2 linked regions of the Struthio camelus genome follow. The protein of the gene in region 2 interacts with the protein of the main gene of each other region in a pairwise test. Links are inferred from orthologs where the notes say so. Each region holds a gene or a part of one and is shown on either strand. Other genes may lie near its edges.

What was found.
Region 1: the proteins of HIVEP1 (region 2) and ATXN1L interact in a two-hybrid assay, tested with the Homo sapiens proteins (2 studies listed by BioGRID). The link is inferred for Struthio camelus from reciprocal best matches to the Homo sapiens genes HIVEP1 and ATXN1L.

What each region holds. Positions count from the first base shown.
Region 1 is NC_090951.1:439,413-454,929, reverse strand, and holds ATXN1L (ataxin-1-like), read right to left. Parts: upstream 6,471-15,517; 5' UTR 6,391-6,470; intron 6,130-6,390; 5' UTR 6,020-6,129; coding exon 3,941-6,019; 3' UTR 1,867-3,940; downstream 1-1,866. UniProt on the Homo sapiens protein: Chromatin-binding factor that repress Notch signaling in the absence of Notch intracellular domain by acting as a CBF1 corepressor. Binds to the HEY promoter and might assist, along with NCOR2, RBPJ-mediated repression.
Region 2 is NC_090943.1:100,774,146-100,789,513, forward strand, and holds the start of HIVEP1 (zinc finger protein 40), read right to left. Parts: upstream 7,177-15,368; 5' UTR 7,008-7,176; intron 6,223-7,007; exon of another isoform or gene 6,203-6,222; intron 5,628-6,202; exon of another isoform or gene 5,377-5,627; intron 5,301-5,376; exon of another isoform or gene 5,072-5,300; intron 4,764-5,071; exon of another isoform or gene 4,695-4,763; intron 2,659-4,694; 5' UTR 2,554-2,658; coding exon 2,514-2,553; intron 1-2,513.

The sequences.
Region 1 (15,517 bases), on a different chromosome or scaffold from region 2:
CGGCAGCAGCCTAGAAGGACGTTAGGGGCAAGTTCTGTCCCCCGTGGACAGATATGAAGGCCGTGAAGGGGCCTTGACCATCAGCATGTTAAGCTACACATGGAACACACCCTGGGCCAAACTCTGTGCAAGAATGTGCATTCGTAGCCATCTTAGCAGCTTCCGCAAAGTTTCAGGCCCTAGGACAGACTGAAAGACAAAGAGCAGTTGTGAGCGATGCTAGGGAAAGGCACATGTACTGCTGTGGGCAGGAACTAGCATCTGGGCTAATCATTCATTTAAAACACTTTCTGAGTAACAAGGATTATTAGTTCTCTACTGGGGAAAGTGACTTCAAGTCGGGGGGGGGGGGACGGGGGGACGGGGACAGGGACACTGAATGTGAAAAGTGCATTATACTTGCGCACCTGCTGGGAAGGGGAGGCAGAGGGACCTCTGCAGCTTTCCTCCTTTCCAGACAGAGCTTCCTCTGCATAGTCTGGTAGTGATGAGTGCTCGTCACTCGGAGCAAGTCTCACGTTCCTGGAGGAACAATGTACACATAGCCTAGAAACAGGCCTGGCCTCTGCTGGGCAGCTGACCCAAGGAATGTTTCACGAGATGGAACAGATGGTTACAGATACTCATTATTGCATCCTACAGACTCTTCTCGCAGCCTCCCTGCGAGCTGGAGAGAAGACCAAGGCCAGGAGGTTCCCTCCTCCAGGTAGGACAGACCACAGCTCTCCCTCCTTTCACAATAGCAGCAGGGAAACGGTACATTCCTCCAAGTAGCCTGTCACATCTCTGCCAGCAGAAAAGCCTGGATAACCCACTCATTCCACAATGTCTTCTTAGTTTCATCTCCTCCTTTTCCTGTAAACTTAAGTGAAATAAAAGCCTCCTCCTTGGGCTCACTCATAGGCTCTGCTATAAGCAGAAAGGCTGTCTCACACACTCCCTCTCTCAGGAGAGCCTGAACACTCGATGCAACAACCCTCACCACAGAAGCTGAAGCAACACGGCCCAACCCAGCAAAGACGGGTTCCAGTGATTATGAGTACGGTTAAGCTGGGCCGGAGGACCTCCAGTGCTCCCTTCTCACCTCTGGCCCCTGGGGCAAGCAGCCAGGTGCCCAGATTCTTCATTGCAATACCCCCGCCATGAGATGTGCCCTAACTGTTGCTGCCACGGAGGAGCCGGCAGCTGAACCATGCACAAGGGGACTGACAAGGAGACTGGGCAGAAGCACCAAGGTCAAACTCACCCCGGCCTTTTCTACAGAGCTCAGAGCCGCGCTCCCCAACCGACGCACAGAGAGGCCACAGCCGAGGCCAGCGGCCAGGTGAAAACAAGGGAGAGCACCTGTACAGCCCTTCAGCTGCCTAGGGTACAAAGTTACTTTAGCCTCACAGCAACTTGTCTCATGTGTCATGTCTGCCCTTTCAGACCACTGATTAGTGCAGCTGAGATCTATGACTAGTAGGTACAGCAACACACGAGATACGGCAGGCTCTCCAAATCCTCTCTCTAGCAGACAGAGATTTCTGTGCTCAGAGAGGCACACGAGAGGCTCTGCACCATTCAGATGCTCAAAAGTCCCCTCTACGCATGCAACCAGCCCTTCCACATTCACACGCCATACACAGGTAAGATCCCTTTCTCAGCTGCCTGCCACAGCCTTGAATTCCTCTGCATGCACCATGCAAAGAACAGGCAACAGAACGTGGGCTCCTTTGCTTTCTGCTTGTGGCCACGGACATCCCGGATAGCCTGAGCATTATGTACCAACCGACACTGATTGAGGTCTTTGCGTAGGAGAGTCCAATGAGTAGCAAAGGAGAGACACATAAGGAAGAAGGCGATGCGGCCAGGCACCTGGACCCAGACAGTATGTTTTACTGACAAATAGTGCCATGAAAACAATATCTGTTCCCACCGCTGCTGCATCCAAGGAGGCAGAATCTTCACATGACAACGTCACCGTGACTTTACATTCCCACATGCAGTTGATGAGACTGACTGGAAGCAGCGCGTCATTTAGGGGAAGCTACAGAGGATACAGGCAGCATCCTCACTCTGGAAAAAACCCTGTGAGGCACAAACACTGAAGGCAAGAGCAGAGCACATCTCAACTAAGACCTGAAAGGAAACTGTTCTTCTAGCGCAGGCGTTTCAAAGGCAACATAAGCAGCTAGCAGCATGCTAGGACAACAGGCCTGATGCCCTGGAGGGAAGGAACATTCTGGAGACTCTCTAATTAGCAGAGCACCCCTTTGCCACACAGTCAGTTCCAGGGCACGTTTCTGCACAGTAGACAGAACAGTCGCGAGAGACAAAACCACTACGAGCTCAGCAGAAGGACAGTGACACAGACGGGAGGTGCTGACACACAGGGCGCCCACGCAAGGAGAGAAGCAATGCCCTAACAGCTAGGCACGCCTGACAGAAAAGCTCAGAAAGATGAGAAAAAGGAGACAGCAAATGGGATGCTAAACATCAGGAGCAGCAACAGGAATCTAGTGGGGGCCTGCACGCTAAAAAGAAACCCAACACCCTCTCGCAAGCATGGTCCTAGTACAGAGCCGGGCACCTTAAATACAAGGAATACTTAAACCCAAGTTAAGTCAGAGCGAAGACCCTTCTCCTCAACATAGCAGTGACTTTTTTTTTTTTAATTCTAGCTAAGCATTTAGAGTTGGTGTCATAACACGCTGTCAGAGAGGGCAAATTAGTGTAACTACAGGAACCTTTGCTTGAATGGAGTGTTATTACCATGACGAGGTATTAATATGCATTTGATTCGATCTCACCGTGAAAGAGACTACTCTCGATTTTACCATGTTGTTCTATAGAGGAACTCCAAAGCGAAGCACCAGAACAACTAACAGAAAAACACCTAAAAATGCCCTGTGATGCTGTGATATTTTTAGAGTCCCTATATCAATCACGGAACTGTAATTAAGAGAAGCTTTGTACCTTGCCTGCACATGCACAAACACTTGTCTGTTTTCTAGAGTTTATTCAGGAAACTGCCTGCAGTGAAGAATTAGCCATCTGGAAAGTTTTCTCCTGATTTAATTACAAAATAGTCTCAGTCTCCTCACAGTAGAAGAGTGTGGTTTAGCTTTAGGCCTAAGAGAAGTTTTTTTTGTTTTTTTTTTAAAGGGGTATGAACATGGGAAGAAAGATTTGATTTGGTGTCAAATAATTGAATGTATTTCTTAGCAGGAAACTGACATCTCTCATCCCAACTCATGTCCCATCCCAAGTGCTCAAGTCTTTTCCACAGTTTCCTATTCACCTGCACCCAAACCCATCCTTTTGGTCCTTCCTCTCCAATTTCTGTCATTCATGCAGATCTCTGCAGATTCTTTGCAAGAAGAAAGAACAGTTGGATTCAGTGGAAGAGACATTAAACAGAACCACCAGAGAAGCTTCTACAGCCTGCCCTCAAGAGCTCCATCGGTGAACGGTCCTTTTAAAGTGCATGTGTGAAGAAAGGGGATACTGGGAGTAGTGCCCCCTAAACTCCAGTGGGGACCCATCTTTCCCCATCATGAGAAAGGAGGAATAAAATCTTCAGCAATTTTATCTGCTACCTTAAGCTGTGTCTGCCCTTCTCATCTCCCCACCTATCCTGAATGCTCAGACCCTGCCCTGCAGGGAACCAGGTATTCAGGAAGGTGCAAAGCCCCAACCTCTGGAATGCTCTTGTCACAAGCTCTCAAGCACATCCCCCGTTCTCTACCCCAACTAGCCTGTTGCTGCTCCCTGAGGCACTGGAGCCCTCTCGATTCCCCAAGAGGATCTGGTCAGCGACCAAACTGGAGTAAATCCAGTTCTGCAGGGCAGAGAGCAGCCTTGCTGGTGAACCTGTCACAAAGTCTGTGCAATTTCTCCACCTGATGAAGGTGAGGCTCACGCACAGGGCACGCCCTAGCTCACAGCCTCAACGGGATCACTTCCCTGCATTAGAACGCCCTTCAATAGACAGCTTGACCTCCTGGGGAATGAAAGAGGGACGGAGCAGAGACGGCCGAGGCTCCTCTGCCTGCGTGCTGTATCTTTGGAAGCCCGGGGCTGTCCAGCTGTGCTGACTGCCAGTCTCAGGCTGAGAGGTTTCTGCATGAGAGCCCTGGGCTGCACTGTCCCTTTCTGCGTGGCTCTTCCTTTCAGCAGCTCTGTCAGGTGGTTCTCTGGACCCCTGCGCTGTTCTTTCAGATCTCTCTCGAGTAGATATCAACTGACCTGTGAGAGGGTAGTTAGCCTGAGAAGCAGAGTTGCCGTTCATGCTCTGTAAACTGATTGATATGCAGACGTCGCCCACCTGCAGCCTGTGACAGGGCAGAGCAAAGAGCTGAGCGGTCCGCCCTGGGCTACAGGAGGACCAACCCTGGCCATACACAAAGAAGGGATGCTCTGGGGGCACATCAATGCTCACTTTACTTTGTTGCTCCCCAACTACAAAATGCAACGTGACAAACCCAGGCCACTGGCTGTCCTGAATATCCACCACGGTGCTGGAGTCGATCTTCAGGCCCCCGCTCACCTCGGCACTGCGAACGAAGTCTTGAGTCTGCAGGTCCTCTACCCGCTTCAGCTCTCCTGTAGCCAGCTGGATGATGGCTCCTTTCATGAAGTGAGAGGGCAAGTGCGAGGAGCTGGGAGGCTGCAGTTGGGTCAATTCCTTTTCAAGCATGCTTCCTCGAGCCTGCGCATCTGGGCTCTGCCTCACCAGGGTATCTGAAGAGGAAGACCTGATGGGCTCAGACACAACGGGCACCAGGACTGGCTTGCCGTTGGCTATCACCATTCCTTTGGTTAATTGTCTTTGTCTAACCGTCTCTTCAGGGGACATTACATATGGACTCCTGGACTGGCTTTTCTCAGCAGCAGCCCTTTCCACCGTGCTCCTCAAAACATCCCTTGACTCCCCCTGCTGATCAGGGATGTTATGGCAAAGGTTTATAGGGCTCAGGTCATCTTTCCTCTGGGCTGCCAGAACATGGTAATCCTGAGATGCCAACACCCCCACCACCCTCTGAACCTCCAGATCAGTGTCTGGGGTGCTTCTGTGAGCTGGCACAGAGACCTCTGTTCTCAAAGTCTGGTAACCTGAAAGGAACTGTCCATCGACCACACATCCCACTGCAGTCCCTGGCAGACAGTCTTCAGCTTTACTGCCGGCAGAGTCCACAGCCTCACTGGTCCTCCTCACCACGTTATGCTCCAGATGTCTTTGTCCACCATTGGCGGCAACTGCCTCTGAACTCAGCTGACTGTCTTGCTGAGGAGGATCTGGGCTTCCACTTGCTGTAGGTGTCTCATATGCCGAATACCCTGGTGGGAGGCGGGACATCTGATAATAAACAGGAATTCTACCTGGTGCAATATCTAACGGCTGGGTCCCAGCATGGTGCTGCATCTGGCCAGAAGGAGAAATGGCAGAAGCAGATTTGTTGAAGGTGTGGGTAGGAGAGGTAGTCTGGGGGGAAGGAGCGGCTTCTTCCGTGAAGAGAGAGGCATATGGCACAAAGTGAGGGACGTGAGAGGTGGTGAGGTTGGTGGAAGGAGACAGGAGAGGACTAGGCAGGAAGCCAGGAGGGACAGCATAGGGCACCGTGTAATGGGAGCCGATGAACTGCAGAGACGTCGGGGGGATCTGCGCGTAGTGGATGGGAGGGTAGGGCACCCCTGGGTGCTGGATTAGCGGTGAGGTCACGTTAAAGGCCGGGGGCAAGGGGCTCACGTTCACCACGGGGTGCAGGCCCGTGGGGGAGAAGGTGGCGGGTGGCACCGCCACTTTGTAGAGCATCCCATACTGGTCCACCGTCAGCCCCGCCACGGCCTCTGCGCCGTCGCCAGGGCCATAGCGCAGGGCCGCAGGGCCCGGCCCCGCCGCCCGGCCCCACTCGGGGCCCTCGCCCGAGGCCTGGGCGCCCCCGGCCCGCCCTGCCTCCGCACCCGCGCTGGCAGCAGGCAGTTCCCGCTTCTTGGGCGGCAGGCACTCCTGGCTCCGCTCGTGGCCCGCTCTCATGGCGCCACACGGTGTCCCGGCAGGCCCGGCCGCGACGCTCGTTCATGGGGGCACCCCCAGGCGCCGCCACACGCCAGCTCCCGGATCCCCGCCGCCAGCTGCCGCCTCACCTGCACCGGGAACAGAGGGAGCCGTAAGCCCCGGTCCCCCGCCGGGCCGGGCACCGAGGGAGCCCCGGCCCCGGCTCCCGGCAGGGCGCCCAGAGCAGAGGGGCGGTGAGCCGCGGCCCCGGCGGCAGGAGGGCCCGTGACTCCCGGCCCGGCCCGGCCCGGCGGCGCCGCCACCCCCGGGGCCGGGGCCCCACCCCGCCGCCGCCCGCGGAGCCGGGATGCCGCAGCCGCGCCCGGGGCCCGGCCCGGCCCGCGACTCACCCGCCATCGCCCGGCGCCTCCGCCGCGGCCCCCATCGGCCCCGGCGCCGCCCGCCGCCGCCGCCGCCTCCGGCCCGGGCCCGGGCCCGACCCCTCCCCGCCCGCCGCGCGCCGCGATGACGCGCCGCGCCGCGCGCCGGAAGTGAGGGCGCTCGCGGCCGGCGTGACGTCACGGCGCCGGCGGCTGAGGCCGCCCCGGAGCGCTGGTGCCGGCGGGGCGGGGAGCGGCCGCGTGTCGCCTCGCTGCCGGGCTCGCCACCGCCCTCCTCCGCCGGGGCCGCTCCCGGGCCCGCCGCCGCCGCCGCCGCCCTTGGCCGCTCGTTGCCGCAGGCTGCGCTGCCGGCCCGGCCCGGCCCGCGGCCCCCGCCCGTCCTCCCTTAGCGCGCGCCGCTCTCTGCGGGGAGCGCGGGGGGGGAGCAGGGCGCGGGGCCGCTCGTTCGGCTCCTTCTGCCGCGGTATCTCGTCTGCGAAGCTCCTCTGGCTCCGGGGTTCGGCGCCTCCGTCCGCACAGCGGCGACCTGGAGGCTAGGGCCGGCGAGGGCCCCTCCCGGGCCCCTGTTCGTGGGTGCGCACAGACCCTTCCTCTTCCCGGAGCGCGAACCGGGACAAAGCGTGGCCGCTCCGCGGGCGCGGTGCTTACTGCCCAGCCCGCCCCGCTGCCCGGGCTGCAGCGGGAGCCGCGGCCCGCGCCTCTGCCGGGGCTGCCGCCACAAGGAAACCAGCGCCCGCTGGAGGCAGCGCCGCGGGGAACCGGCAGCTCGGGAACGATCTCGGCAGCCGCGGGCGGCCCTCTGCGCCGGGCCGGGCCGGGCCGAGCTGTGCTCGCCTCCCCCGGGACGGGACGGGACGGGGCGGGCCCAGCGCCGAGCGGACGCGGCTGGCGGCCCCGGCGGGGCGGCGGAGTCACGGCGAGGGGGCGGGGCCCGTGCCAGAGCCCGCCGCGAGGGGGCGGGGCCCGGGGAAGGGGCGGGGCCCATGCCAGAGCCCGCCGCGAGGGGGCGGGGACACGCGGAAGGGGCGGGGCACAGGCCAGAGCCCGCCGCGAGGGGGCGGGGACACGCGGAAGGGGCGGGGCACAGCCCGCAGCCTGCCGCGAGGGGCGGGGCGGGGCCGTGCGCGCTGCCGGCGGCCGCGGGGGCGTCGTGCTCCGCCCTCCCGCGTGCGCGGCCGGAACCTCCGTTCGGGGCAGCGCGACCCGCCCGGCCGCACCACGGGGCCGCGCTCGCCGCGGGGGACTACCCCGGCGCGTGACGTCATCAGTGACGGCCGCGCGCTGACGCGCCTCACTCGAACGCACAGTCTCGCGGATGCTTCCGCCGAGCAAAGTAGTTCCGGGAGCCCGTCCCGCGCCGCCGCCGGTCCTGCGCCGCCGCCGCCGCTGAGGCCGCTGCCGCCGCTGAGGCCGCCGCGGCCCTCCCCGCCACCGACGGCGGCCGGGAGAGCGAGGGCAGAGCGCCGGGCCGCGGATCCCTCCGCCTGCGGTATCGGTGCTGCGGCCGCGCCGCCGCCATTTTGAATGCCTGGCTCCTGCCGCCGCCGCCGTCTCCGCTCCAGGGACCGGCCCGGTGAGTGGGGCCCGCGCCGCCCGCCGCCCCCCACCCCCGCCCGCTGCCGCGCCCGGGCCCGCCCGCTCTGCTCTGCTCCGGTCCCCGCGCCGGGCCGCGCCGCGCCGCCGGTGCCCGCGGCCTGCAGCGGCCCCTGCCCCGGCGCCGCCGCCGGCTTTGCCCGCTCTGCGGGCCGCGGCTCGGCACCGGCACCGGCCTCGGCGGCCTCTCCGCCCTGCCGCGGCCCCCGCCGGCGAGGCCCGGCCCGGCCCCGGCGCGGCCGGCTGCCCGCGCCCCCCGTCCGGCCCCTGCGGGCCGCCCGGTGCCCCGCGAGGCGGCGGACAGCGCTGGCGCCGCGCTCGCGCGCTCGCTCGCTCTGCTGCTCGGAAGCCGTTGCCGACCCCTCTGCTGCCCCCGCCGCGCCCCTCCGGCGCTGGGACTCGGGGTTCCTTGCGCAACTTGTCCGCAGCGGAGCGCGCAGACACGCCGAGGAAGTTCCCTCGGTGGGAACACGGCGTGGCTTCGCGTTGGAGGCCCGGGGGGCCTGGGAAGGAGCTCGGACGTTTGCCTCCGGCCTTCCTCTGGCTTTTTCAGTACTTGTGCTGCACAGCGGCCCGGAGCGTTGCAGTTAGTTTCTCTGTGTCATTCTGACGGTGTTTGCACGTACTCTTACAGTTGCATAAGTTTTAATAGAGGCAAAAACGTCTTGTTTTTGGCCAGAGGCATTTACAGTAAATTGCAAGTACAAGTATAGGTTTGCCCTGGTCGTAGAATACTGCTCAAAAATCTGTTACTAAAGACAGCTTCGCGTCCCTTCTTGAGGGTTGGAGTTCTCCGTTTCCCCTTCTCTCCTCTCTCGAATCATAAGACTAGCTATATTTTTCTGACGCTTTTTGATGTGTGTAGGCATTCTTTTGAAAGTCTGCAGACAGAATGATTTTGTATTTTGTTGCATTGTAAATGATAATTTTTTAAAAAAAGCTTAGTGATGGATTTTCGTTTCTGATGCCTGAATCATTGACAGAACGGCATGGAATCCTGGTGAAACCCTTTGGAAAGGTGGCATTTCACGTGCAAGGCCTGAAAGTGTGTTTGACACCTATTAGCTTAAACAGAACAAAAGACTTTTTTTCCTGTACAGTGCCTTAGAATCTTACATTAAAACCTCACAGGTAGTGTTGTTAGTTTTCTTTATTCTGTTTTGCTTCTCTGCAATAATGTCTATCTCTTGTTTTTTCACGTGCCTACTTCCTTTCTTGTCGCTTTGTCTGAACTACACTGGTTGTCTTTTCTTTTGTTTATTTGCACGTCCCACTCTGCTGCCAAATTCTTTCTTTTGCCCGCTCATGCGCACTGTAGTATTTGGCATGGGATTTGAAAACTTTACTGGATACCTGAGCTCAGCAAAGGCAAGAGATTACGTTTTTCTGAGGCAGCATGCAGTGTAGGTTTCTCTCCTTCCTTCCATGGCAGGAGAAGGAAGGAGGTGTTTAAATTAAGGTATTTAAATTTCTGTGTGTTAAGAAGGAGAAAGAAAGGACGGGATGATTCTTTTGCGAGGGGATCCAGCTTTTCTTTCTTTGTGCATAATATAACTTTTAGATTTCCTCCTCCTTTTCATAGAAAGAAGAACATTCTCTTCTACTACTCCTGTTAATCTGACTTTTTTCTAAAGCTGATACAGTAAAAGTGGACAGGTCCTTCAGTACCTTTTCTTGCTGTGTCCTGGCCAGAGATTAAGGAAGATAAGATGTTCTGATTCTTGATAGTTTCTTTGTGCACAGAGCTTTGAATTAGCATCAGTGTAAACTAATGATATCAGTAAGCTTGACACGCGATGGTGTAGAAAGGTTGTAAGCGGCAACACAGGAATCGAAGGTCTCTGTTGAGGCATGCAGACAGAGACTGCGCTGGTTAATGCAGTTCAGGTTTGGAAAGCTGGCTTTCAAAGTGCAAAGGCTAATAAAAACCTTAGCTGCTTCAAGCAGCGCTCATTCAGAAAAGCTTCTTGTGCCTCTTTTTGTTTGAATACTTATGTTCTTATTATTGAGTTGGCAATGTATGTAACTTCAGAATGTGTTTTGGAGATGGGCTGCTTGTGTTCTTAATAACAGGGCAAAAAGCTCTTCTGATTGAAAGTGATATTAATTTGTTCTATGTGATATTTTGGCGTGTTCTGGGGAAAGGGGTCTAATCTACCTTGGTAGTAGTATTACTTTATTGGATGAGGTAGTAGTATTACTTTATTGAATGAGGGTTTTGAGGTTAATAAAGTAAATATGTGATGAGTCTTATTTAAATCTAGCCCAGGTTGCTATTACTCAAAAGTCAGAGTTACTGTAGCGTGCGCGCAAATGAATCTCTGCTAATATAACAAATAGTATTATTAGCCTTAATTGCAGTTTGGCAGAGATGCTCGAGGTGAACTCTAAGGTTAGAACTTCCTAGGACATGGGAGAAGTTACCTGAAGATATCACAGAGTTTGTGTTAATGCATGTTTTAAAAAAAAAAAAAAAGCAGCTATGTCTCATCTTTCATCTGGCATTAACTCTGTAAAGAAATATTTTTCTTTTCCATAATGTAGTAGCAAACAAAAGATTTTATTTCTTTTTTGGAAATCTTAAGTCTGCAAGAGACTGAACAGGAAATAAAATAACCAGATTACCTTACAGATAAAGATAGTTGGGATGCTGGAAGCAGATGAGAAAGACAGAGGTAATGCAGGTCAGACATGACTGAAGTATAGGAACAGGAACCAGGAAATCTATGTTGTCTCTCACACTGATCAGCTGTGTAGGACTTGTTAACTCTTCTCCCATCCCTTGATTTGTTAGCCTCTAAAAAAGAGGACATACTTATTTGCTCTTTTGGTAGGCGTTAGAGGATAACTTTTGCGATGACTTTTCCAAGGGCCAGAGACGCTCTCCTTCTCCCCTCAGTTTCTGAACAGCATGATGGCTTGTGCCTCTGGAATACTCTTGTGCTACGTTTCTTGATTTTAAAAGTAACTGGAAATAGTACCGTCGCTTTCTCTGACACTGTTTCTCAGATTTTGTTTTTAGGTGGGTTTTTTTCTTCCGTTTTTTCCCCCACGCTATCTTTGTGTAACGCGTGTTACTTTGCCTTTTATTATCATACTGTATTTTAACACCCTCCTCCCCGTTTATTTCTGGTTTCTCAATGTTACTTATTTTCCATGTTACAAGTTTCTCTGTTCCATGAAATAGCTATTTGTCAAAAGCGATTATTTTTCCACTTTTAATGTTGTATGATTGGTTGCTTTTCCTGTTAACTCTTTCTGTTGTCTTTGCCCTTCTTGATGGTGACCATGCTCCTTGGTTGCGTGTTTACCATTTCCTGTATAAATATTGATAGCACTAAACAATGTACCAGTAGCTCTAGTATTTTTCTTCACAACTTAATCCCTATTTGTAGTATGTATTTGCACTTCTGTCCTTACTGTCAATATATAATTTTTTTGAAGGGTCTGATCGTAGAATGAAGCATACTGATAGCAGTGTGGAGGTGAGGCCATCAGTCAATTTTAATTAACTGTTGCAGTTACTCCCCTCGTACAGTCTAGGCATGTCTTTCCGTTTCTGCACAGGAGGCTTGATTCAGTTCTACTGAAGCAAGCGGGGGAGTTCTGTTACTGATTTCAGTGGGAGCTGGGTCAGGCTTTAATTATGCAACTTCCGAAAGTCTGTTTTTGCTTGAGGAGTACGATTGCTTATGCATGAGTTGGGGTACAGCAACTTAATTCATCTATTTTAGATTTGTTTGAAAATACATGCTTCTGCAGTCTTGGGTTGCTTTTTAGAATGAGCCGAGTTCAGAAATACTACTTTCAGGAGGCTCTATTAACTGCATATATATCTCGTTTGGATTGCAATTGAGAAACATTTCCTCAAATGGTAAAGCTGTTTTATGAATAATTCCAGGAGCCTCAGCAGGTCTTATGCCTTATTGCTTCCAGAATTCAAGAGTAAATAATAATGGAATTTAAAAATGCTTGTGACTGCTACATTGAAAAAAAAAAAAAGTTGCTTAACAAGGCTGTTCATTTCATTAATATATTGAAAGTGTGATTTCAATATTTTTAGAGATATGCTGACATTTCTAAATACATTCCAGAGGGTAGGATTTCAACTTAATTGAATGTTTAAGGATTGTAAGTCCTTTTAACTTTACATACGGTTCCTGGTAGATGAATATAATTTAGCTGAAGCACTTGAGAGTTGTTTACATGTGGAATTTTGGTAATTTCGGATGCTGCTTGCAAATATCACAGAATCACAGAATGGTTGAGGTTGGAAGGGACCTCTGGAGATCATCCAGTCCAACCCTTCTGCTCAAGCAGGGTCCTCTAGAGCACGTTGCCCAGGATCATGTCCAGGTGGGTTTTGAATATCTCCAGGGAAGGAGACCCCACAACCTCTCTGGGCAACCTGTTCCAGTGCTCTGTCCCCCTCACAGGAAAGAAGTTCTTCCTCGTGTTCAGACAGAACTTCCTGTGTTTCCGTTTGTGCCCGTTGCCTCTTGTCCTGTCGCTGGGCACCACAGAGAAGAGCCTGGCCCCATCCTCTTGACACCCTCCCTTCAGACACTTGTATACATCTCATATTGTATACAATACATCTCATATACCCTCAGCCTTCTCTCCAGGCTGAACAGGCCCAGCTCTCTCAGCCTTTTGCTCACGTGAGAGATGCTCCAGTCCCCTCCTCATCTTTGCAGCCCTCTGCTGGACTCTCTCCAGCAGTGCCATGTCTCTCTTGCACTGGGGAGCCCAGAACTGGACACAGTACTCCAGGTGAGGCCTCCCCAGGGCTGAGGAGAGGGGCAGGATCACCTCCCTCCACCTGCTGGCAACACTCTGCCTCATGCAGCCCAGGATCCCATTGGCCTTCTTGGCTGCAAGGGCACACTGCTGGCTCATGCTTAACTTGTTGTCCACCAGGGCTCCCAGGTCCTTCTCTGCAGAGCTGCTTTGAGTTCCCAACCTGTCCTGGTGCCTGGGGTTATTCCTCTCCAGGTGCAGGACCCTGCACTTGCCTTTGCTGAACTTCATGAGTTTCCTCTCTGCCCAACTCTCCAGCCTGTCCAGGTCCCTCTGAATGGCAGCACAGCCTCCTGGTGTGTCAGCCACTCCTCAGCCAGTTTAGTATCATCAGCAAACTTGCTGAGGAGGCACTCTGTCCCTTCATCCAGGTCATAACTGTAATATCTAATAGAGGTATTTTATATATATATAAATATATATTTTGGTTATCAATTGTATTTGGTTATCAATTGTATTTGAGTATTATGGTGCTCTAAGAGAAATTTTTAGCAAGATTCTATAGTTAAATCTCTTTGGCATGCTGACCTCTTGAGTAAAAACTGAAAATTTGAAACAACACATGCTGAAGTACTAAAAGACTATATAATGGGGAGAAAATAACCATTTACACTAAATGTTTTTAATATTTATATTCTAATTTTTGTTTTCCTGATGATAATGTTTTCACTTGTGCATAGTTTAATAAGATGAGTTGGGTAAGGAAAGAAAGCCTTATTTGTTTGTTTGGGGGAAGAATTCATGAACAATAGAGGGAAGATAACTGAGTTAACACCTTTCATGACATCCAGAGAGTAAAAGGAAAAGCTGAGAAAAGGTGTGTGTGTGTGGTTTTTTTTTTTCCCCCAATTTTATTTATTTATTTTGTAAAGGCACCATGTTTCGGAACAGTCTGGCCTTGACAGTAGGTTACTCAAAAGCATGTAAGGCCTTGGAAATGAGAAGAGGAAAATAAAAATCCTCCACCTCATCAAGTCTGTGTTTGACCCTACCAGATTTTGTAAATATTAACTGCAAGTTTCTTTCCAGGTATTCAGGGACCATCCCTAAATTCTAGAGCTTGCAGTTAGTAAAGAAAAGGCAGAGGAACACAGCTGATGTAAGCAAAATGAGGAAAGAGATAATTACTTTTAAAACTTGCCTTGTCGTTTACATTAATGTGTAAAGAATAAACACATATGGCTGTACTGGGGGAACATGTTAACTAATCCTGAAAAACAAGACCTGCTACTTAGAGGGAAGTTCTCAACTGCTTTTAGCCAGCTGAAGTTAAACTTGGAGTCTGTTATTCCCAGACAACGTGCTTATCCTCTCTCTGCTAGTAAGTCAGTCATCTTGTGCAATAAAATGCATTTCTGTAACATAGAGAAGCACTTAACAATTCTTTGTTCTTGACAGTTTGGTATTTGATTGCTTTGTAGTTGTCACCTGAAGTTGACTTAAATTTTTCAAACGCTTCATAGACATTCTGATTTCAAGACAGAAATTGTGTAGTCAAAAATGAGTAGATCAGTTACTAAATAAGTTTTAATTGTTCTTAGCTCTAAATTCTTTAATCCCGTTCATCTTTTGGTCTTGTAATTTTTTAGTATTTTTTGTTCTAACCCTCATTAATAATCTGTTCAGTGGTGTATAGCTCTAATTCCTTCTCTTAGTGAAATCTGCATGGTCATATTTCAAGTCCCAGTGGGATTTTGATACCATTACCGTGTCACTGCTTTGGCAAAGGCATGCTCTGGTGCTGTGTGTTGTCCGTTCTTTGTCCGTGTGATCAAGAAAATCATAAGTATTTGTCAAAGCATCTTTGGGGGCTTGCTGGAGCCCTCTTCCATTTCTTATGCCTTTCGCTATGCTGCAGCTTCCTAGAGTGCCAGTCGTATATCCATGGAGGACATGAGAGACCTTGTGCCCTTTCTGTTACAGCTTGTCAGTGCGCTCAGTGAGCCTAGTCTCCAGTCGTGGATTGCTTGGCAGTGTGTACCTGAGAATTGTTTTTATTTCTTACTCTTTTCCTGTAATCAGTCAGAATGCTAGAAAAATTCATATACAAGGAATGCTTAAAGCTAATTTGACTGAAGGGAGGGGAGGATGCTTAGGTGTGTTTCTTCTAGAAAAGAACAGGAAAAGTAGAGCCAGTGCAGTCTTCACTTGCAGTTTTTTTTTTTCTTAGCTGTGCATTATGATCTGCAAGTACCTACTGGTTTGATTTATAACCAACATTAAAAGTACTTGGTAGCTTGCATAAATTAATGCTTCGCATCTGGTAGGAATACTCTTTTAACTTTCTCATTGCTTCCATTCTGCCTCTTCTGATGGCTTTTTCCACCAAGTCTGCAAAATGCATGCCTCTGGCCTGCAGTCATGCTACTTTAAATGACAGTTTTATGGGCTTATTAATTAAGTTGCAGTCTGCCCCCTGAATAGGAGGCATCCAGAGGAACATGGGATCGTACAGGAAGTGTTTTTGATGACTCATTGGGTCACCTTGGCTGAGTGTAACAATATATGGACCTCATGAAGCTAAAGGAGTTATCTTCTAAGAAAAAAGTGAAATTGAGGTTCTGAAAAATGTTTTAGCAAATCCTGTGATACCTGCACAAAACTTGATTTGTTGGCACAGATGGCTTGGAATTAGGCTGACTGACTTTCTTGACCCCTACCAACTGTGAATCTTGGTTTGCTTGATGACCGCAAGACCTATGCTGCCAACCTTTGCTTGTTTATCCCTCCCAGAGCTAGACAT
Region 2 (15,368 bases):
TAACTCATCTGATGCACAGCAGAATAGACAGTGTCACGGGTTGTTCAACAGTGACTGCTCTAAAAAGTTAAACATTGATGGGCTCTGGACAAGTCCAGTTAAATCTACTGGAGACTTGATTGCTATGGGGCAACCAGAGAGCAGAGGAGTTGAAAGAAGGCAGAGAGAAGCCAGGTAAGGCCATGGAGTGTTCTTTGTACATGGTACGAAAGGTAACAGTTAAGTTTAGACAACTTAAACATACCTTTTATCCTAAAAATAAGGTTTACCTGCTCCTACTTCTTTATCTTCTGAAAGTTATATAATTTAACAATTGGCTGAGTTTTGCCTTAGATCACAGACATTTACTGTTTTTGCAAATCTAATTATCTTCACTAATTACCATAACCTACACCACAGATGCAACACATTTTAAAAGTTCAAAGGACTAAGACCGTCAGTTAAGACTGGCCAAACTTTCAATACATGAAAATAAGTTGTCAGAAACCAGACCTAAGGAAGCTTTTCAGCCTTTTCAAATTTCAATTAAAATTGGGGGGGGTTAAGCAAATATTTTCTGCAATATTCTCAGAGACTGATAAAATGACTAACGGAACTGAAATCCAGTTTCCCTCATCATCTCAACTAAAAATGGAAATAGGGCATAACTAATGAGAGGTAAACTGATTTTTCAGATCACTTCACCTCTAATAACCCATGCTAGTAGCTATACATGCTCACGACATGTTTAAGTTTGCAGCACCTGTGTAATTTTAACATCATTTTTAACAGTAAGAAAGAGGTTCCAACGTCATTTCAAATTCTGGCTTCAGCTTCTACCTCTATTTACCTTCTCAATATTTAATCCATCTTAATTTACTGGAAAACTCCATTAGTTGTAGAAGAATAGAAACTGATGATTTCTGCTACTGGGGAGGGTGATAATAGCTGAATGACTGGGAAAACTACACAAGGCAAAAAAAATGCAATTTATTTCTTGCACAATTAAGTGTTTAATTAGATTATTTATTTTAAATGCATTTACTTAAGTGAATATAAAATTACAAAAAGCTTTACAAGAGACTTATCTACTCTCGTATTACTTTGACCTTAGCAAGAGTTATCAGATAGGGCACTAAAAGTAGATCATTTTCATCTTTGATTGAAAAACATAACATCAGCTACGTCAGTAACTTGGTAAGCAGCAGTATTAAGAATTAGGATCTAATTCACCACTTCAAGTTCCATAAGAAGGGGAAACGACAGCTCCTAAATTTAAGGCACTCCAAGGTGCCCATTACTGCTTTTCCCCTTTCCTGATGTGTGACAGAGGCTTAACTACCACATTGAGTAACACTGCCCAGCACTTTCTGAATAAAGACGCTGCACAAATGTCTTCAGTAATAGAGATTCTTAGTAATACTGGCACACAGTACACATACGCAAATTCTTTGATACAGCTGTATACTGTACGCTTAAGGGCCTTTTAACTTTCACTGAAACGCAAAAAAGTATACGAATGCTTGTGTTTGTTGGGTGCTGGCTGACTTCTCTTTTTTCTTCCATGTCCCCATTTATTTTTTTTAAAAGTTAAAAATAGAATTAAATACTGTTCCTGCCCCCAAAATTTTATGCCAATATTTGCAGCTTTACAATAGCTTTTATTGTCTAAAGAGATGCATACACACTGCAACTGTGAAATCCATGTTAAAAAAACTGATGACAACTACACACTGGCGGGGGGTGGGGGAAGGCACGTTCTCCCTTGGTATTTATTTCTGCTCTTGAACTAATCTGTATTTTTCCCTCATTTAATTCCTCCAGGGCTGCTACTACCAAGAGAGTTACAAATAATCATATGATCAGACTCCTCACATGCATCTGCCAATCCTGAGCTCTGGTAAGTGCACTGGGATTTTGTTCAAGGAAATGCCCGCACATATAAGTTTGCCAGTTGGTGGACCAGGTCATTTACGTCTTTGACCCTTTCTGTAGCCAACAAATTGCTACTGAGTTGTGCAAAGGCAGGGCAGTGAGGAGACTAAAGTCAAACCCAGACACTGCTGAGGAAGCACGGGTGATGAAGATGACAAATACAAGGGAGGCATGCGTGGGGGAAGAGTCTGATCCTCTCAAAAGCAAGCCAAACTGATTACTATTAAGAAAAACAACTATCAGCTGCCAAATCTCATGCTGCTTCCACATTACACACATTTCCCACCTCTCTGTACATTTCAATTGCCTATTATTTGGTAAGGACACTATGTCTTCCTTTGCATTTTCAAAGTTGAGGTTGGTTGTTGCCACAAGCTGGATATCAGGAGTGCTGTCAAGCACACAGACTACAGGAATAAGAACAGTTTCTCCTTATTTCCCTCAAAATTACAGTAGTCTCGCAGGTTACTCCTAAAGCTTGTTTGTAAAATAGTTTTGGACCACAACAAACTTCTTCAGTACATATTCCTTTAATTTCACAACTGAAACTGCAGCTGAGCTTCCCAAGACCTTTTCCTTCTTAGCTGAGAGCTACATACCTCTCAGGTTTCTGGGATGTATCTGCTTTGTCCGAGGCATTTTCCTCTAATTTCATATACCCCTTTCTCCTCAGAAATGAAAAGTAGAGCAAGCAGAGAGCTGGCAGTTCCATAAACTTGTCAAAGGAGTCAGTTAATCCATGTGCTAAAAAAATAAAAATAAAAAAAGAAAGAGAGAGAAAGAGATAAAAGTTATGAGATGTATGCATAATAAGGAAAATCAAAGATATCTGTCTGCTCTCTTTCATCCTAAAATGGCTACAGGAACTGGTGATAAGCAATAAAAACTTCTATACCTATCCTGCACAGAGTGAAATGTTCCAACATTATAAGAAAATTAAATGAGGGTCAAACTCCTTTTGGGGTTACTCAGGAGGCACGAGAAGTCTAAGACATTTTTCCACATTTGTCAGCTGTTTTCTAGCCAGAAAACATTTTCTAACAACTTGTGTCCTGTGTAAAAAAAAAAAAAAAAAAAAAAACCAAACCTCACAAAACAAAACAGTCACATTAGGCTTTAAAACAGCAGATCTTCATTTGTATAGAGGGGGATAGGGGAGGGAGGGGAAGGGCAAACACATGCTGCATCAGCAATCATCTCTCCCATTTGCAACATCAGCCATCTCCACAGTATCCTTACTTGAAGTGTGCAATTGTAACAAGTCCAGAAGAGCTCCCCAGGGGACTCTACTGAAATATCAATTTACAACACAGACTCACACCAGCTCTAGACCCATGCGCAAGTCGTTGCAAAGCGAGCTCCTGTATCGGCATGCAGCAGTCCCTGCATTTACACAACGGTGCAGCCAGCAAAGTCTAAGTATGCATGAACTTCATGGAAGATGGAATTCTTTTAACAGCCTAATGGACAGATTTTCTACTGAAGGGGCACCAACCTAAATTTGCATCCCCAAACCTCCACTTTTCCCCCCCTCAAGATTAACAAAGTGTATTATTTTTTAAATATGCTTATGATTTACTTCCCATTTAAGGAGTACGTTGTTTAGCTTCTGAAATCTTCCTGTACTGAAATCTCCCTCTGAACTATAGTGAGCCACTTGCACTTAAGAACTTAAAAAGAAGAATGACTAGTGCGATTCCACTACTTTGGCCAAACAACACTACTCGCTTACTATTCATAGTAATACCAACCCCGACTGAGAGCTTTCTTTGAATCAACACCAGGATAAGTTTTTTTAAATGTATATAAACCATACAGTGGCCCTTAACATGGGCACATTGACAAAGGATAACTACTCGAAATAGGAAGCACGTAGAGCCTTCTATCATTTAAGTATTAACTCAGAGTTCTGATCATTTCTAATACAGACAACAATGTTTTTGAAAAAGCGGAATTCAAAACCACTCAAAATAGACTGTTGCTTACAACCTCCCCTCCAGTCTACAGACTGTTGAGGAAGATAGTCATTAATTTTTAACGTTTCTTTTGTCTATTGCTGCATAAAAGACTCAAGAGAAGAAACTGAGTAGCGCTGTCACAAAGGAAGGCTGGCAAATATTTTTCTGACTAATGGTTCTTTACTAGGATATTATCGCGTTAAGGGGAAAACAAGAAAAAAGCCAGAACACCACACAGAGGGCTGTCAAGTTGTTCACACATATCACTTCATCTGCAAAGATACCAGAAAGATTTAAAAACGAAAAAAATCTTACGCTAACAGTTCCAATTTTCTAGTCTTAGACACAAACTCTAAGTGTGCAGCAGCGGCCAAATTACTTGAAGCAACAAGCACCTCCGAAGCCCTGTTTTGTTTTGCTGGGAATCCTGGGTCTTGTGCTGACATCCTCACAAATAATAAACGCGGTCACTTAGGTAAGCTATTTCAAGCAGACGGGTTTGAAACGCATCAGATATCTGTAAGTCGTAAGCACCTCCTGATGCTCCCTCGCAGCACAAATGACATCTTATTTACGCTTCAAAACTACCTATTCCACCTGGTCACCAGCAGTATGCTTTTGCAGAGGGATGGCCCTACGAAAGCCACAGCAGAAATACTGTAGGAGACCCGCGTAAAGTCGCTGCCTCCTTGATTTCAATAATCAAAAAAAAAAAAAAAAAGGAGAGAAAGAGAGAACGAGCCCTCCGCAATCACGGCGGTCACATTCCACCCCCATCCCACCTCCCCCCCGCCAAAAAAAACCGTAGACTACGGAACAGACCGACCAGGCGGAGGGACGGCTGCAAGCGCAGAGCCCGAGGGACCCGTGAAACGTCGGTATGTGCGAGCACTGTTGCAAAGGGAGGAGGAAAGGGAAGAGAGCGGGGGGGGGGGGGGGAGGGAGGGGAGGAGGGGAAAAAAAAAAAAGCATGAATGAATAAAGAGGGAGGAGCCTGGGAAAACCCCTCTGCAACGCTGCGCCGAACAAAGCGCTGCACGCGCGGGGGAGCGGGGGGAGCAGAGCGGCTGCAGCCCGGCACCCACCGGCCGCGGCGGGGCGGGAGGAGCCGGGCCGAGCCGAGCCGGGCCGGGCCGGGCCGCCGGCCCCCGCCATCCCAGCACGGGGAAGCAAACAAGCCCGAGCGCGGCGCTGCCTACCTGGGGCGGCGGGGGGCTTCGGGCACCCCGGCAGGAGACGGCGCGCACGCACACGCGTGGCAGAGCGGCCGGGCCGGGCCTGCCTCGCCCGCCGCCTCCCCGCTGCCCGCAGGACACGCTGTGTTGTGTCTGCCGCAGCTCCCCGCGGAGGGGGCGCAGACAGCCGCCGAGGAGGAGGAGGAAGGGGAGGGAGGAGGAGGAAGCGAGGAGGCGCCCGGCCTGCCCCCCCCCCCCAACACCTCCCTCCCCGCGGGGCGCCAGGCCGCGGCGACGCGCCCCCCCCCGCCGCGGACCCCGCTGCAAACCTGGCGGAGGGGCCGGCGGGCGGCGGCTGATGGCGGCGCGGGTGCGAGGAGCAGCGGCGGCAGCCGGGAAACACGGCGACCCCTGCGCGGCGGCGGCGGCGGCGGCAGGGAGCCTCCTTCACTTGACAACCTCAAACACAAACATGACCCTGCGCTGCCGCCGCCGCCGCCTCGCACACACGCTCACACCCCTCCTGCGCGCAACATCCCCCCGGCCCGGCCCGGCCCAGGCGCCGCCCCCCCCCCCAAGCACTGCCCCTCTCCACACAGCCCCCCGTCACCCACGGGCAGCGCTGTCCGTCCGTCCGCCCCCTCTGCGCAGACCCCTCCCCCGCCGCCGCCGCCGCCGCCGCCGCGGGGCTCCCCCGGGCTCCCCCCGGGAGTCGGGCCCCGCCGCCTGAACTCCCCCCCCCAGCGGGTCCCCCGACACCGGGTCCAGCGCGGCCCCGACCATCGCCGCTCCCCCCCCCCACCACCCCCGCCCCGCGGGATCTGCCCCCTCCCCCCGCGGCGAGGCGGCGGGGCAGGGGGAAGGGGGGGAACAACGAGGGCGGCGGGGGAGGGAGCCCCGCTGACAGGCGGGAGGGGGACGGCCGGGAGGGCTGCCTGCGGCCCTGGGCGGGGGCGGGCGGGGAGGCACGGGCCGGCTCGGCGCGCCCGCGGGGCTCCCCTCGGGGAGAGACGCTCCGCTCCGCTCTCCTCCCCGCGCCCCTCCCCCCCGCGCCCCGGTCACCCGCGGGGGGGGTGGGGGAGGGGCGCGAGGCGGCGGCGCGGGGCCGGCCGGCCGCGGGGGGGGGAGGGGAGGGGAAGGCGGGGGGTGTTTTACCTTCTCTCACTTTCTATTGCAGGAAGCGGGGCCGGAGCAGTGACGTCACCGGGTCTCCCGGCCCCGCCCCCTGCCGGCGCGGGCGGGGGCGGGGGGGTGGGGGGGGAGGGGTCAGGCAGCCGGGAGGGAGGGGTCACCGAGGGGGTTTCCTCAGCGCCCGGCGGGGGAGGCACAGAAGCGAAACTCGGAGCACAACAAACGCCGCGCCAACGTTATTCCCCGTCGCGCACACGCACACGCGGCGCTCCCTCCCTGCCTCCCTCCCGCGGCGCGGCTCCGGAGCCGGGTTGGGGGCGGGCGGGGGGGGGGGGAAGCGGCCCCGCGCCGCGCCGTTGGGGTCGCCGCGAGACCCCGCCCCCCCCCTCCCGTCCGCCGAAATAACCGCCGCGGCCTAACGCGCCCGCAGCGTGCGCGGAGCCCGGCCGGCTTGGCGGCTCTCCTCACGGCCGCGGGGCTCCCGCCAGCCGCGGGGGCGGGGCGGGGGGGGGACACGGAGCCGGGGCTCGACCCCGAATAAAAAAGAAGTTACCCCGCGCCTGTTCCCCTTCCCCCGCTGCCTGAGTGTGTGTGTGTGTGTGTGTGTGCGTGAGTCGCGCTCCCCCCTGCAGCGGCCCGGCCGCGGCACCGGCACACGGGCACGCACACGTAGGCACACAGCCGCTGAGGCGGAGATCCCGGAGGTGCCTCCCGCCGCCGCCGCCGTTGACCCCGGCGGCTTCCCCGCGGCTCGGCGGCGGCGGCGGCGGGCGCCCTCCGCCCCCTCCCCGGCCCCGCGGCACCCCGGCGCCGCCGGCGGAAAACTCACCGCCACCCCGCGCATCCTGCCGCAGCCAAACTTTTCATACCGGGCGACAAAAGCCGACGGCAAATCCCCCCCCTCCCCTCCCCTCCCCTGCACGGCTGGAAGTGGGCGGGGGAGGAAATACGAGGAGGAGGCGCCTGGTGCTCTCCGCCGCGGCGCCCCTTTTTTGGCCCGGGCCGCGGGTTTTTGCCGGTTGGGGGCTGTGCCGCCGCCATTGGTTTCCTGCATCAGCTGCTCTGTGCGCGGCGCTGCGGGGTCGGCCCGCCCGGGGCCAGCGCCTGGCCCGGCCCGGCCCGGCCGCGCTGCTCCTGCCGCCCCTGCGGCCCGCTGCCCCGGGCGCCTTGGCCCCGCTACCTCTGCCCTTGCCAGCCCGACCAGCCCCCGACCGAGGCCTGCCTTGAGGGAGCGTGACCCCTCTCGCCAGAGATTTTTGAATTTTCCGGAGCGCCTGCCCTCATTTAAACCGTTGCAGGTTTTCATGAGGTAGCCGAGCGCTTTTGTCCCTCTTTTACGGGTCAGACACCACGGCAGAGTAACTCCTGCAGAGCTCGTCCCAGACGCGACACCGCCTCTGACAGAGCTTTCGGCCGAGATCACAGCCTCTGGCCTGTTTTTCCCCTTGAGCTCACTTAAATTCTCCTGGAAACCGGTGTGCCGCGATAGCGGCAAACTCTGATGTGGGTAAGCTTCTCTCCCTCCCGCCCCAGAGCTGCTCACGACGTGGACGGCACAAGTAAGCACGCAGCCCGTCGTCGAAGCACCTGGCTGTTCGGCACGCTACCTGGCAGTCAGCGTAAGAGGCAGGCTTCGTCAAAAGTTTATTAATTAGAGGTTTATTGGAAAATCAGACCCTCAAAGAGCACCGTATTACGGTACCCTTCTTGTTAGACAAGAACCAGGTGAACTTCTTAGTAGGAACTTTGCTTTTTTCTTCCACATCTACCCCTGGCTTTGAGGTCTAGAGCTTTGACTTGTTAAGCAACAGAATTGCCATTAACCTGAATACATTAATATAAATATAACCCTGCAGGTGCCGTAAGCTTAAATGAAGGTACCAAATCTGACTGGTCACAAACCTGAGATCAAGTGACATCTCTATTTGTTTTATTCAGCTCTCCTTTAGACTCTGTCCCACTGATCTTTCCTTAAGTCTTGCTCCTTCCTATTCTACTTGTTGTCTGAAAGCTTCAGGCTGTTGTCACCCCCTTCGTAAAGAAGCTTCAGAGGATGCCCTTCTGCATACGATGGCTGAGAAAAAGGATCCATCACAGCTGCTGCTGGTGCAGAGGGAAGTTTTAGGTGCCCCCTCTTTTTTGCAAGGACCTGGATAAGCACAAAGCAGCAGCTCTGATGTGCTAGTTGACACGAAGCGCAACAGCAATCCTCCCAGAGCTGGGAGCAAACTGTCCTTCTACTACGAGAAGTCAAACTACATCCCATCCGGGAGCATGAACATCCAGTCCTCTTACTGCGTGGGTACGCACAGGAGTATAATAGGCATCCTTCATCTGCAAACAAGCACAGTTGTCTGACAAGAATGACTCATGAGGTGTCAAAGAGGAGGCAAGTCCCCAGAGACACATGGAGCACATCAAATCAGTGCGCGCTGATCAACCCTTGAACATAGTAACTGCGATCTGGAGGTTAGTTTGGGTCAGAGAAAAAACAGAACTGAAAGTCCGGCCCATGAGGTTATTCCCACTGTGAATCTTAAGAAGCAGTCTAAGAGGCAGCTATGAGCTGGTCACACACCTTAGCTTGCTCAGCTCTAACGTGCAGGTGACAGGGAGGGTCCAAAGAGCGGTCTCTGCCCCAGCTTGGTATCCCTCCAGCAAGCTCATCTCCGTAGGGGCAGAAAAATTCAGTCTTGAAGGTGTCCCTGGGAAAGCCAGGTGTAAGATAGCGTAAGAATCTGTTTATTGCCTTGCTGTGTAAGCTTGGAGACCGCTTCATCTTTTTCTGTTTTTCCATCAGTAAAAAGGAAGTGCGTACCCACTCAGTAAAGTACTTCAGGAAAAGTACTACATATGATTGCTAGTAGGAGGCGTATAGTAATCTTCTCAAACCTACAAATGAGGGAAACTTAAAAAATTTTCACCAAGACCTAGAATGCCACATCAACAGGCACATTGAAAATATCCTGCACAGCAGAATTTAGATACTTCACAAATTGCATCGAAAATTAATCCTACGGGATAGAGTTTCCCTTCAAAGGAGTGTGTGTTTTGGAAAGGGGAAGATTATGAAGGACTTTTTTTCTTCTAAAACTCCACTGCATTTTCAGGAGGACACCTATTTTTAAACACCCTCTAGATTTACACTTGAAACTCTGTGCTCAGAAAATGGCATATAATGGCTCACAGGTATTTTATGTATAAATATATACACATACACACATTAGGCTCTCAAGAAACCATGATACAGTAGGTACTTTTAAATAATTCATTGTTAAGCACCCCATGATAAATCTCTAGTTGAATAGTATGTGACTTTGCTAGGATTCTTGGTATATACTGAATGTGAAGCACTGTGGTAAATTTAACTATATTGAGCATCAAATGTGAAGATTTTTTATATTGAAAATTACACCCTGACACATAACTGAGAATCTTTGTTGTTAAGGCTTCAGGGAATTTTTGAGGGAACTTCTGAAGTTCTGAAAAAGAAAGAAAAAAAACCACACACACAAAGCACTATTTCTGTATAAAAGTTGAAATTTTCTCAGAGAAGGGAAACTCCTTAAATAGTCTGTGTTGAATTAACAGAACAATTTTCTTAAAAGAATTTCTATCTCATCGCTCATCCTCTGGGGCTCCACACTCGGTATGATCCAGCCTGAGGATCCGGGCTTAGTTGGTGTGAGCTAGTGCTCAGAGCATTTCCATGGCTGTCCCTGTCCCACTGTGGGCCGGAGGCCCTGAGAGCCGCCAGGCTCCAGGTCCCCAGCAGGGAACTCAAAAAGCCCAGCCTGTGACTGCTCTTCCTCTGACAGACAGACAGAATTTAGTTTTGCTAGTCCAAAACTGAGGAGTCCAGCTGCTCTTGCTGCAGACAGCACGGGGCTCTAGAATGGGAAGCCACGAGAAAGCAGAGAGTGAAAAGCCTTAAAGAGCTGGGTTTGCCGCTCCCGCAGGCGGGGCAGGAGAGATAGGGCAGCAACCGCTGCTACTGGGGGACGTCATTTTCCACTTTTTTCCAGCAATAACTGTCACCCCAGATACTCACATCTCTCCCTTGTCAGCAACAGCCAGATGCTTTCCCAAACGGAGGCAAAGACAACAGCAGGGATACGGCTGCACGCCACTCCCTGCAGCCTGCTGCTCTGTGCATACAGCCAACCCAGGAGGGACATCTTGCACGGCAGTGTCCTGCCCCCAACGCTAAGGCTATCCAAAAGAGGGGTTGTTTTTGTGTTGTCCCAGAAATTGGTTCAGTTCTTCAAACCTTCTGGTTTGGACAAACTGCTGTTTTGTAATCAAAAAATGTTCTGTAGAAGACTTTTGGCCCAAACTTACTTTTTACTTTTCCCATATACCAAAGCTGTGCATGAAGTCACTGGGGCAGCCCCTGCAATAGAGTGGACTCCTGTGGCCAGAAAAAAGGTGCATGACCCCAAAGCTGGACAGACCTGAAAGTCCAGTATAGGGCACAACTTACTGACAGTACTTGAAACTTTTTCAAAATATTATTAACCAGACATTGAAATCCCAGACATTAAGTGAACTTGTTGAGCACTGATGACAAATCTACTTATTTGCACCTCATTCTTCATTATCATATCAAAATGTCTCAGATGAGAGTACTTATGTTTAAGATACTATGCGAAAAACCATTCTGGCGAATGTTTGTCCTTCTCTGTCCTTGAAAGAGCCTTGACTGCTGCAGCGTTATCTACATTTAATCACAGGAGAGCTTTCCCAGCAACAACTCCTCCAGGTGGAGGAAGCAATGCCTGTTCTACCTAAACTACCACTGCAGCCTGACATCAGTTTTCTTTTCTCCCAGCACATGAGGCTTCACATGGCTGGTTCCAGGACAAAAGAGCGGCCACAGAGCAAGTGATCACTGTGGGGGAGACCTGCTAGCAGAATCTCTTTGAGGTCTCCTTTGGTACCACGAGCCCTGGTCACCCCGCAGTGTCCTGCTCATGCCCACACCCGCACATAGGAGATGTGCAAAGTCCAGACCTTCCTGCAGAGAAGTACGGTGAGGCCGAGAGCAAGTCTCATCGTTAGCACTTTGCAGGCTGGCTACGCTCCCTGCCCAGCAATACTCTCTATGGCAGTGTGGCAAAGTCCTTAGAAGAAAAAGAGGGGGAGAAAAAAAGAAAGAAAACAGACCAGTTAAAACACCACCATCTTTTTCACCAGAAGTCTGCCCCAGGGGCTGGTGTAAACAGTACCCATTCTGTTGCTGACCTGCACAGTAGAGGACAAGGAGCAGGCTAGCACATTCTTGTGCAATGAATGCCTTGGACTCAGCTCTCTGCGCATCCAGCTGGGCTTTGTGGGACATGCCATTAGGGCCTTTTCGGGGAGGAGATGTTGCCACTCCGCATTACAAGATATGGGATGGAGGATCTGGGAAAGGCTCATCTGTACTGCAGGCTATAATACTGCTGGCGCTGTACTAAAGGGCTGAGCAGGCTCGAACTCCCTTCCCTCTCTCCCCAGTTCTGGTGATGGAGCTCACCCAGAGCCCTGAGCAGTCTTGTGTCCAAACCTGAGGCAAGTTTGAGCTTGAGCCGGTGCTCTGGAGTGAAGGTAGATGTAGCCATGAGAAGCAACTTCCACAGCTTCTGGCATTTAAAATTGCTTCTGCCTTTTCAGAAAGGATTGTTTCTCTGTAACTCAGCAGGTTCTGCAGTTTTACAGCTGCTTTACTCTCTTTCACTGATGCATTTTTACTCTCAACAGAGCTGAACAGGTTTCTTGCCGTCTCTGAACTTTTGCACAAAGTTGCTCATATTTTCCACTGTATCTTCTTCACCTCAGCTCACTGGTTCACTCTAATCTTTCTTTTTCAGTAGCTCTAGGTCTAAACAGTTCATTTAAATACAGTGTGGTTTGCCAGCAGTTTTTGCAAATACTTTTATTTTATCTTTTAAAGAAACAGAAAACACGTGCACTTAACACATTCACCTTGCCAAGATGTTTCCTGGGGTGTGCTTTCTCTTTTTGTTTAAGTTCTTCGGTAACTGTTTTATCATATCTGAATGATTAAAAAGCATTTCATTCAGGGGATTCTTTTGGAAGTATTTGTGCTGTTCAATGGCATTCCACTGTCAGGTTTGCCATAGACGTATATAGGAAATATCTTTTAAAATACCCCATTCTGAGCGCGTAAGTTAGTTTAGCGGCTCAAAGGTTGCAGGGTTAGCATTATTTTGCTCATTTGCTTACTTTAATTATCTCTGAAAAGGTGCCCTGCTCCTCCCCTCCCCCCAATATGGATGGGCATACAAAAAATTTCAAAAGTATTGCCATTCTATTCAAAATCTCTGACAAGCTAAAAACTTCTCTGGTTACTGGGATATTTACTTTGCCAGTCACACAGGAAATTGGTAGGCACAGATCAACAAAAAAACTTCAGGTTGCCTTAGCCCTGTTTCCCTGTCTGCAAAATAGCTTTCAGGGAATACATAGCATATTTTGCAAGGGTTGCATCACAAGCCAGACATATAGCACCTGTTGTAAGCTATGATATTTCTGTCATTTTAAGTCGTTCAGTCCCCCCTAAATCCAAACAACCACACAATAAGTAAATGTATGTTTTTGCTCTGAACGATCTTGCTGCCTTTCTGTTAATAGCTTTGCTATGTAATTTTCCCTGTTTGTGGGGCCTTCTAAGAAATCAATTCCTCCAGCTGTGGCCAGTGATTTTGTTAAACCTTTCTATTTTTTTAAACTAAAGCTTTCCTTTTAAAGCTCCACAGGTCTAACAAGTGTCAGGCTCCCAGTGCTGAGGAGTGTAGAAAATTTCAAAATAAATATTTGCAAATGAATGCATGTTGAAAGCAGGGCACTTGGCAGTCTTGCAGCTGTCCCAAAATTTCACAAGGCCCACACTGTAAAAGCTGTGGATGTCATTTTCCAAAATGCTATCACATCCACATAACTGTATCCCATGCCCATTTTCACACACAAATAAACAAATACCTAGACGAAGTAAAAGAGAGGGGAAAAATTAGGCATAAGAGAAGAACAGTGATACAAATAAGATACCTGATTCCAAGTTAGCTTGTCACTTCAGTAAGTTGCACTGACAAAAAGAATATTTTAGTTTCAGTATCTCACAGAATGGATGAAGGATGCCAGGTAGTTGATGAAGTCAACACCCAGCCATGTGCTCTCACTGAGCTGGTGCTTGCACCAGGCTGGAGTGACTGCCTCATGTTTGGGCTCCTGCAGGTCCAGTTGTACCCTGTGCCCCTTTCAGCAAGTTGCGCCATGGGTCTGGCGCATCTCAGGTTCAGTTGTTAAGGTCCCTTTCTCTGAAAAAGGGCAACAAGTTTAAAAATTGACTGTATCTTCTATTTAAGCAGTGCGATACCTGAAAAGGCAGCACCAAAACATATTCCAAGCTTCAACAGCGGCCTCAGAGCTGCTTATCTGTTGGCTTAAGAAGTGGCATGACAAAAAGAGCGTATTTCCTTTAGAGGTGAATCACTCCCCAGCTCCCTCTTTATTGCAAGCACTGAGGCCATTTGTATATCACAAAAATATAGCTTATATTATATTTTGATCAAATTGTGAAAGAGCTATACTGATGAATTAAATGCATGTGTGTGCGTGGAGAGGAGAATCTGACACAGATGCGCGATTAAGCTTCCAGATAAGCTTACATGACAAGGCAAGGAAAACTGAAAGTTAAGATGTCAATTCCCCCACCAGTTTAAATTGGCATAGTTCCACCAAGATACGCAAATGGTGTTATTGCTATAGGAATCCTACCAGAGGCGGGAAGAGCAGCTGGCTGGCCCATAAACCTCCAAACAAGGCACACACACCCTTCTTAAAAGTACTGAAGTTGGCAGGGGTGACAAGAGCACAAGTCAATACTCCACCAGAAGAAATCAAGCATGGAATCCAGGCCTGCTGAGATGAAAAGATCCAGCTGCACGAAGCGATGCTCGGCACGGATAGGAGAGAGGAGCCTACAAAGAACAATGCAGTTCCCCGAAGGCTTAGGACACCAGCATGCAGAGAGGGAAAGGAGTATAGCACAGCTGTCAATCCTTTTCTAGAGAGCTATGCCTGGTGGGATAATTCTGCCCGCACATATCTTCAGGAAAGAATTTGGGTGGCTGTTAAGTCCAACTAATGCCAGTGAGTGCACTTTCAGAAAGACACAGCATACGGTAAAGGCTTCTTGGATCAAGTTTTATAGGCACTGTTTGAATGCGTGAGTTATTCCATTGGCTTAGCGAGACCGCTCACGCGTGAAGTGCCTGACTTTCTTAATGTGATCTCAGCTTCTGAATGCAGTAAACTTCAAGTGAAAAAGTGAACGTTACTTGAACAAAAAAAGTTAGTAGAGGTTGAAACATAGCTGAAAAACCCCATCTCAGGCTCCATTTTGTGCATCTGATCCTGCAAACAGCTCGCGTAATGTGACACTGAGATCAATGGGGTTACTAAGAAAACCACAGGTTATGCTTTTTGTTGAGCCAGAGGCAACGCATGCAAAAATTAAGAGCCAATTCTGCAACGCATCACTAAGCACAATCTCATTATCAAGACAGTAGTGCCATTTGGGTCTAATGCTTTAGAGAGTTCTCCGGTGAAACCACAACGGTGCCTTATCTTTCTTGTCTTTTAAATGAAAACAAACACACACTAAGCTGTAAACCTGCTTCTAATTGTGTTAAAAAATCAGTCACAAAAAAACAAAGCAGAAGCCAAATATAACACTTTAATCACACAAAACAAATGCATTATTACTTACCTGCCTTGTTATAAACTGTAGAATAAAGTAAATGAGATAGCTTCACAGCCTGGTGCATGGAGGGCAAACCCATGTTACCCACCTTTGCATTTCCTCTTTCCGCTGCAAGCTGCCTACAAGCTGTCCCCCCCCCCCTTTTTTTTTTTTTTTTTTTATTAAATGAGCTGCGTGGAAATACCATTTCCATTTCTAAACTAACTTTATCGTATTCCTTCATTCCCTCCTCTCATTGTCAGGGCTCATCTGTCTGCTCTCTGTCTTCTCTCTTTCTCTGATTCCTTCCACGTGGCTTTTCTCTAAGTTTCAAAGTATCTTTTCCTTTCCCAGATTGCATAGGCAGACATTGAGTTTTCTACCTATTTTGCCCAACTGGAACATGTTCTCTGAGAAGTTGCAGGTTAGGAGGAGGAAGGACTG